Linked DNA regions of Struthio camelus. The protein of the gene in region 2 binds, or shares a complex with, the protein of the main gene of each other region. Links are inferred from orthologs where the notes say so. Each region holds a gene or a part of one and is shown on either strand. Other genes may lie near its edges. The genes, in order: GDF2 and ACVR2B.

Region 1 (3,911 bases), on a different chromosome or scaffold from region 2:
TTCAAAGGCTTGCCTCTTGTCAAACAGGCAATGATGTTGAAAACAGACAGTGCAGCCAGTACCCCAAAATAGTGCATTTCTTCTGTATTTACTTTCTGATGAAGAGACAAGAGGACAATGAAATTGTAGGTGATTAAAACTCTTGTTTCATTACAGACAGAGGGAGGTAGATAGAAGGCAAAAAACTGGTGCACCCTTTGCAAATCACTTTCTTGAATTCTTTTTGCAGTCTGCTTCAAACCCCAGCCTCTTGTCAGTTGTCAAGCAGATTGGTTGTACACTTGCCCTTATCTGAGTCATTGATGCCATGCTTCAGCTTCTGTTATCTAGCAAAGCTCTTAGTTAATGAAGATTCTATAAACATCTGACAAACACATATGGCTGGTGGGAAAGACATTGTATATTGTAAAGAATTCACATTTCACTTTGGGGTCATCATTGCTTAATTACACTCCTTTACCATTTCCTTGCCAACCCAGGGAGAAGCTTTCTTAGGGACGTGGAGGATTACACTGTTTTCATCAAGACTAGAAAATCGAGGTTCAGAACAAAATTAGTCTATCAGCTGTTAGTGAATAACACCTCACAAATCTCTGTTACAGTCCCTTCACCTACCATTGCAAAATCCCCAACCATTTGATGGAGACCTGTGATTCAGCAAGACGTGATCTCACAACAATACAAACAACCTTAAAATTTCTCTCCGTTTATCAGCAAAGAGCTATTATTTGTACACAGTGAAATATCTGTTTTGTGTCAAGTTTGCTTCATGTTGTTTGCAGGCTTGTCCATTTGCAGTTTGATTCCTTTGGTGGATGGGAAGTACAGCCAAATCCACATTGTGTATGTGCTAGGAGATTAGAATGGTATTATGAGCTCTTACGTTACAAAAATACCTCGTTGCAAAGATACAGAAAAGATTTTGTCCTGTCTCAGCACTCGTCCATTCTTCTCCAGTTTTCCAGGAGTGCATACAGAGTGCTTAAAGTGAGCCCATGCTACTGAAATACTCCTGTGTCTGTTCAGGTGACAACTGGGATCCCAGATTCTGGTTAACTATGTTTCTATGGTGTAAGGTTAGAAGGGCTATTTGGCATTGATCCTAATCTCCTGAATAGCAAGATTGTTATATTTCTCTCAAGGACTTTGTATTTCCTACCTCTACCAAAGTAATTTCCTACCAATTACTTTTGTTTGGCTAAAGCATAACTTTTGTAAAGGTCTCTAGGATTTATGTGCAGGTGTTGCAAAAATGGAAGATTTCTTCACATTTCTTGGCACTTATTCTAGAAGATTTTCACTGTCACTTAGAAAAAATGGTGCTTCACTTACTATTTCACTGTGCCTGGCTTCACCTTCTAGGCACTAGTTCTTGTAACTTTTCTGCCAGCTTAAGGAGCTCCATAGTGCTGGCATTTTCTCCCTATCAGAGTACTTGTACCCGATAATCAAGTTGCTTCTCCGTTTGCTTTCCGATAAGATAAAGAGATTGTATTTTTTAAGTCATGTGCTATAAGACATTTTCTCTGTTTTTCTTGCTGTTTTTGTGTCTCTTCTAGAGTTTCAGTATTTTTTTGAAAAGGTGAGCTCTAGGGCTATACATAGTTTTCTAGTGACACTCCACCAGTGCCACGTGTAGAAATGAAATCTCCATTCCTTCTGTGGTTTACTACTCTACTGTTTATCTTTTCAATGCCTTCATTAACTCTCTTTATATAGCATCACCCTGGAGTCTCATATTGTGCTGTAAGTCCAAAATACCCACCCAAATTGTTTAAAGAATTATGGCTTTCAAGGGCATAGTCTCCTGTTCGGTAGGAACAGCCTCCATTCCGTGTGCCTAGGTACCACGCTCTGCATTTGTCTACCTTAAAATGAATTTTGATTAACTAGAATGCAGCCTGATCAAGTGCTCTATACAAATACCTCTCTCCTAAACAGTGTCTTCTGCAAATACTATTTGGGTTATTATATATTGACTTCCAGTTCATATATGAAGCTGTCAAATAGTCTCAGGCCAACTGTCATCTTTGCAGAAACTCTTCAGTGAGCAGCTTTATTCGGTGACAGTTCCCTTTTGAAAGCTGCTCTTTGACATTTGGCAGTGAGACAGTTCTTAATTCATGTGATACACAAATATATGAATATTGTCCAGTGATCTGGATTTTAATTATGCTCCCTTGTACAGCTGGGTCAAAATATTCCACAAAAACCTGAGTACATTCTAGCTATTGCAGTTACCTCTAGCAATTAAACTGGGACCTCTAAGAATTAAAGAGATTTTGTGTTAGAAAAACAGTTTTCCATAATACTTTGCTGGTTAGTATCAGCTGTTTTCCTGTTTTTTCCGTCTTTAATCATCCCATATTAATATACCCTCAATTCTTTTAGGATTATTTAGTGGAATTTTTCTGACTTGTTAATTAAGTGTTTGTCCATAGTAACTTTACCTAGTAACTTGCACATTGAGTGGAACGGTTTATAGGATGCTCCTAGGAATCAGAAGAGCTGTTAGAAGAATATCACTGTCTTGCAACTGCATTTGTGCCATTTTAAAAACAATTAAATGAATTAAATGCGAAGGTTCCTTCTGTAAAGGCACAGATTAGACATCTAAATATCAAAGCCCCAGGAAGTAATAGCCACTTCTAAACAAATAGTGGTTAAGGCCTTGCCCACATCAAAGGATTGACCAGTACAGCTAAACCAGAAAACCTACCTAGTAACAAACATGAGAGTTTATTTTGCTTCTCTAAATTACATTGTTTCTCCAGATAAAATAAACGTTGCAAATAAGAGAATTGTCTTGCTTGTGTAATAGGGGAAGCTGGAATAGCTATGCCACTTATGGGTATAATTTTACTTTCCCCATGCTAAATGACATAGTTATGCCAACAATACTTTTAAATGCGGACTACACCTTTAGGGGTTTTATAGGTTCCCTATTGTGTGTAGGAGCAGCGTTTTCCCTTACATCCTATAGGCCTTATAACAGATCAGGGGATGGTATCTCTCTTTCCTAACCGCTTGCCTCAGCACATCTTGGAAAGCAACGATATACTCAAGGAGTAGTTCGGAATTTAAAAAAAGATTCCCTAAAGAAAACAAAATGCAATAGACCGGACTATTACACTAGGCTAATTCTATTCAGAGCTGATGTTAAATGGAAGGAAAACTATCCTGCAGAAAAGGTAAATATTCACAGGGACAGAAATGACAATGGTTTAAAATTAAGAAAGTTTTATACTTATGGGTGTACCCTAGGAATAAATGATGAATTTCTGAGAACTTTTTAACTTATGCATTAGTATTAACTCTTTCAGCCTTAGTTTACTCTGTAACTATGAAAAGAACTCAAGACCTTGCAAGGGAGATCTTTAATAGCAGCAGTACACAAAGCTCTGTCCCAGTAGTTCCTTTGCAAATCACTAGTGATTTGGGAGAAGAAGAAATGCCTACCTGGATCTATGCCCTTTCTTTCCTTTCTCTAACTGGCAGTTACTACAAGGTGCCTCAGAGCTATCTACTTATTGAGAGGTGTTTAGGAGGAAGTATGAAGAACTGTGGACAGAGTGGCTGTGCAGACAGATAAGTCCGTACACACTGAATCTTGATTTTAAGTGATTTAGCAAGAAGTGCCACATTTACACACCTCTGCTGGCTGGGAATCTTTACCACATAAAAATGGAATATCGGTGGCAGAAGTTACCTAGGGCCTTAGCAGGACAGGAGCCTTCACAATGAAGTCATTCACATCAGAAGGTAGTGTGTATAGTATCGTTCTCCTAAGCAACACAAATTTAATCGGGCAAGATAGTGCAAAAGGTTAGACTGCCCCTTGAGGGGTAAACTCTCCGCATCTTGCACTTTGTCCTGCCTCACAGACTTCAGTAGTTTGTTCTGCTCCTAGT
Region 2 (3,911 bases):
CGCAGCAGCCGCTCAGGCGCCGCGGGTGCCCCTTGCGCTGCCGCCCCGCAGGGCGAAGGGCCCTCGTTGCCTGCGGCTGTGCGCGGCGCTGCTGGGCCAGAAGCCGTGAACACACTGGCGCTTGCACCAGCCTCACGGCAGAGGATACAAACACACAGATGCACGCGCACGTATATATCCTCCTATATACACGCATATATATAAAACATCTTATTATGCATATATAGTAGCCTCCTATATATAAATAGCCTCTCATATATATATTTTTTTTCCTCGCAAGGAATAGATGGGTTAATTCCATTCTCTCTTGCTCGGGGGGGGGGGGTGGTCCCGGGAAGCCCCCCTTGCGCGGGCAGCGGCGGCGGCGGGGGGGGCTCCGCGGGCGCGACGGGCAGCGCCGCCGCCGCCCCGCTCAGCGGCCGCCGAGGCGCGGAGCCCCCGCGCCGCTCCTCCCTCTCCCCCCCTCCCCTCCAGCCCTCTTTGTATCAAACATCCGGGTTTCCCCCGCTGGCTCCGCTGTGGCTTCTCCCTTTTTTTAGAAGCCATTTTGGACTCGGTTCAGGTTTTTTTTTTTTTTAAATTAAAAAAAAAAAACAACCCTCCCCTTCCCCCTCCCTTTATATTTTTTTCCGCTTTTTTTTTTCCCCACTCCTCCTTCCTTCCACCTCCCCCCCCCAAAAAAAAAAAAAACAAACCCGTACATGGCAACTCCCGCCGCAGCCCGCTGCTCCCGGGCCGCCCCCCCCCCCCCCCCCGCCGCCTCGCTGCGCGCCCCGCGCAGCCCGCGATGCCGCGGCCCCCCGCTGCGCGCCTCGCTCCGCCGGCCCTTGCCTGCCGCGCAGCCGCCGCCGCCGCCGCCGCCTCGCAAAGTTTCGCTGTGCGGCGCGCAGCTTGCGCGCGCGGGGTGAGGGGGGGGAGAGGCGCGGGGAGGAGGAGGGGGGAGGAAGGCGCGCCCGCGTGTGTGCGCGCTCGCCCCTTGCTGCTGCTGCTGCTGGGGGAGCCGGAGGGGCTGGGCCGGGGCGGGGAGGGGGAGGAGGAGGAGGAGGGGGAGGGGGAGGAGGCGGCGGTGCGGTGCGGTGCACGCCGCGCTCCCAGCACAAAAGCCCGGGCGAAGAAACTCTTGGAAAGCGGCGAGGCAAAGCCGGGGCCGGCCGGGCGCTGCTCCTCCGCACTGGATACATTTTGCAACTGCGAAGGAATTAAATCCGATTTTGTAGGAATTTTTTTTTTTTTAAATCCCTATTTCTTCCTCCCCCTCCCCCCTTTTTTTAAAAAAAAAAAAGAAAAAAGAGAGGACAGCCTTTTTTTCATCCCCCTTCTTTCACTCGCTCGAGCAATTATACATATATATATATATATTTTTTTTTTCCTTGGGGATAGAGGGGCACGCAAAAACAAAAAAGTGAAGGAATATGATTGCTTCGTGGCTGACTTTCGCCTTTCTTTGTGGAACTTTCTGCGCAGGTAAGAGCGTTGCTGCGTGTTTACCTACGTTAGCCTCTCGCCGTGCCAAACCGAGCGGGCCGTGCCATTATTGGGAGGCAGCCTGCGAAAAAACGGGGCAAACCGGCGAGCGAGCGGGCGAGCAAACCGAGGAAGGGGGGGGGGGTCACCCCAACTGGTGGGCTCGTTTTAATTTAAATCCCCCCCCCCCCGCCCGCCTTCCCCATACACACACGCTCCCTTTAGTTTTCTTCCTGCTTTACAGGACGAGCTTTCCCGTGCTGCTTTTTGTTCCCTTCAGTCGGGCGGCGTGAATCAATGGCAGTGTAAACACGCCGCGATGTCGAGGAAACTTTGCAAAAACCGGCTGTTCGCTGCTGAGCGCGGGGGCTGCAGGAGAGGCAGCGCGCGGGGGGGGGGGGGGAAGATTTTGGGTGCCCGTGCGCGGGGTGCAGCCTCTTGCGGGGCGGGGGGGGGGGGTGGTGAGGGCTGGCGGCTCGCCGCGTCCTGCGGGGGTGTCACCCCCGGGGGGAAGAAGGACTCCGGCCCCGGCCGGGCGCCCCCCGCCCCCGGAGCGCCCCCATCCCGCCGGGGTTACGACAGGAGTCATTTGGGGACTGGGTCGTGATGTGGGGAGCTGGGAGAAAGTTGTGGTGGTTGTTTGTTTTTTTTTTTTTCTTTTTCAAGGGGGGAGGGCTTTTGTTGCGGGGGGTGCTTAGCTTATTTTATTTTATTTTTTGCTTTTCTTTTTTTCTTTTTTTAATTTTTCAAACCACGCGTTTCACTCGCCCGGCCCTGAACTTCAGCCTGCTGGCTGCGCGTTTCCCTAAGGGGGAGACCCGGGTGCCGGGGTGGGGGGGGAAACAGTTGCTACAAACACCGGGCTGCCCTGGGGAGGGGGGAGCGGGTCGGACCCCCGGGCGCCCCCCCCCCCCCCCTGCCCTGAGCGTGCCCGCAAGGGCCGAAAACGCGGGCGGGCTGCGAAAGCCCCTTCTCTCCCCGACTTTCCCTCCTCTTTCATGTGTGTGTGTGTGTTTCGCCCCCCTCCCCTTTTTACTATTCCCCTGCCAAATCAGAGGTGGTGGTGGTGGTGGGGGGGTATCTCACAGCGCTGCTCCCGGCCCCCTCTTTATGTACCAGTTGCGCGGGGATGGGCGCAGGGCAGCAACTTGTCCCGCTGCGCAGCCGGGGCGCGGAGCGGGGTTGGGGGGGGGGGGGGGGGCTCCGAGCAGCGTTCCCAGGGTGCGGGAGAGATGCTGCAGTCGTGCCCTTTGTAATTTATTTGTCTTCCCTGCGCTCGGCCGGGGGCCGCAGGGGAGTCCCCGGCCGCTGCGCCCCGGGATTTGGCCGGGCTGAGGCGGGGAGGGGGCGCCCGGGGGGCCGCGGCGGCTGGGGCAGCCGGGTGCTGCCGCGCTTCCTTTGTTCCGAGTGCCCATTAAATATGCGCTGCCGCTGCCGGGGGTTTGTCTTGCCGACAATGCCACCCTGTAATTACTATTTTTTTTTTTTTTAAAGCCACGCTCAAATTGGTGGGGTTTATGGAAAGGATGTAGGGTTTAAAAAAAAAAAAAAAAGCTTTGGCCAGCTCAGGCTTTTTTTTTTTTTTTAAATCTAATTGATGGGACACTTGTACGCACAGCTTTGTTTCCATGTGTTGCGAAGGGGTTGTGAGGGATTGTATTTACATACCTGCTCTCGCTCTCCGCGCTGCTATTTGGGAAGGAGCAGGGCTGTGTGTGTGTGTGTGTGTGTGTGTGTGTGTGTGTGTGCCATCAGTATTCGTGGTATTCAGGGTGGCTGTAATCACAACAGCTCTCTTGGCTGGAAAATTCTGTTATGGGCATAAAGGAGATTTATGGTTAATGTATTTTCTTTCTATATATCTTGGAATCCTTTTATCTCGGGTGATTCAATAAAAGAGATGGCTTCCGGGTTTTTGTTTTTGTTTTGGTTTTTTTTTGGTGGTGGTGGTTGTTGTTGTTTTTAACCTGATCCTGTGGTTGTGCATATAGTGGCAGAAATGCAAGTTAGAGGAAAAAACAGTTGCTTTAAAAAAAAAAAAAATTAACCCTGAAAGCTTCTTAAATGTATCATGTTATGAAAGGGATAATCTGATAGGACATACCTACACTGACTTTTTTCCCTCCCCCCGAAAATATAATAAAGAACCCTCAGAAAAAGGATATAATTCTGTTTGTTTGGAAAGGTCCTCACGGATCATTAAATCAGTGCATTAGCAATTCTGCAAATCTCCCCCTCTCCTCTAAAGCCTTTTCCGTGTTTCTGGCGATATTTGTGAGTATTTGTCCATACGATCCTCATTGTCCGTTTTTTTTTTTTTTTTTTCCCCCAAAGCTGTTCGGTCAAGAAACCCCCCCCCCCAATGCCAAATACCCGAAGTTGCAGCGGGTTGCTGGGGGTTCCCAGCGCTGGGCTTTGCTTGAAGTATTTCTTTTGTGTGCGTACAT

The links.
Region 1: the proteins of ACVR2B (region 2) and GDF2 are in contact, whole or in part, in a crystal structure (PDB 4FAO), measured with the Homo sapiens proteins. The link is inferred for Struthio camelus from reciprocal best matches to the Homo sapiens genes ACVR2B and GDF2. Residues at the interface, in NP_001097.2 of Homo sapiens: Asn35, Glu39, Cys49, Glu50, Glu52, Lys55, Leu57, Tyr60, Ser62, Arg64, Val73, Lys74, Cys77, Trp78, Leu79, Asp81, Phe82, Asn83, Glu94, Gln98, Val99, Phe101; in NP_057288.1 of Homo sapiens: Arg333, Ile346, Ala347, Pro348, Lys349, Glu350, Tyr351, Glu352, Lys397, Ser399, Pro400, Ile401, Ser402, Val403, Leu404, Lys406, Gly410, Val411, Pro412, Thr413, Leu414, Tyr416, His417.

What each region holds. Positions count from the first base shown.
Region 1 is NC_090948.1:22,147,367-22,151,277, reverse strand, and holds the start of GDF2 (growth/differentiation factor 2), read right to left. Parts: upstream 2,730-3,911; 5' UTR 78-2,729; coding exon 1-77. UniProt on the Homo sapiens protein: Potent circulating inhibitor of angiogenesis. Signals through the type I activin receptor ACVRL1 but not other Alks. Signaling through SMAD1 in endothelial cells requires TGF-beta coreceptor endoglin/ENG.
Region 2 is NC_090943.1:7,504,847-7,508,757, reverse strand, and holds the start of ACVR2B (activin receptor type-2B), read left to right. Parts: upstream 1-1,023; 5' UTR 1,024-1,412; coding exon 1,413-1,464; intron 1,465-3,911. UniProt on the Homo sapiens protein: Transmembrane serine/threonine kinase activin type-2 receptor forming an activin receptor complex with activin type-1 serine/threonine kinase receptors (ACVR1, ACVR1B or ACVR1c).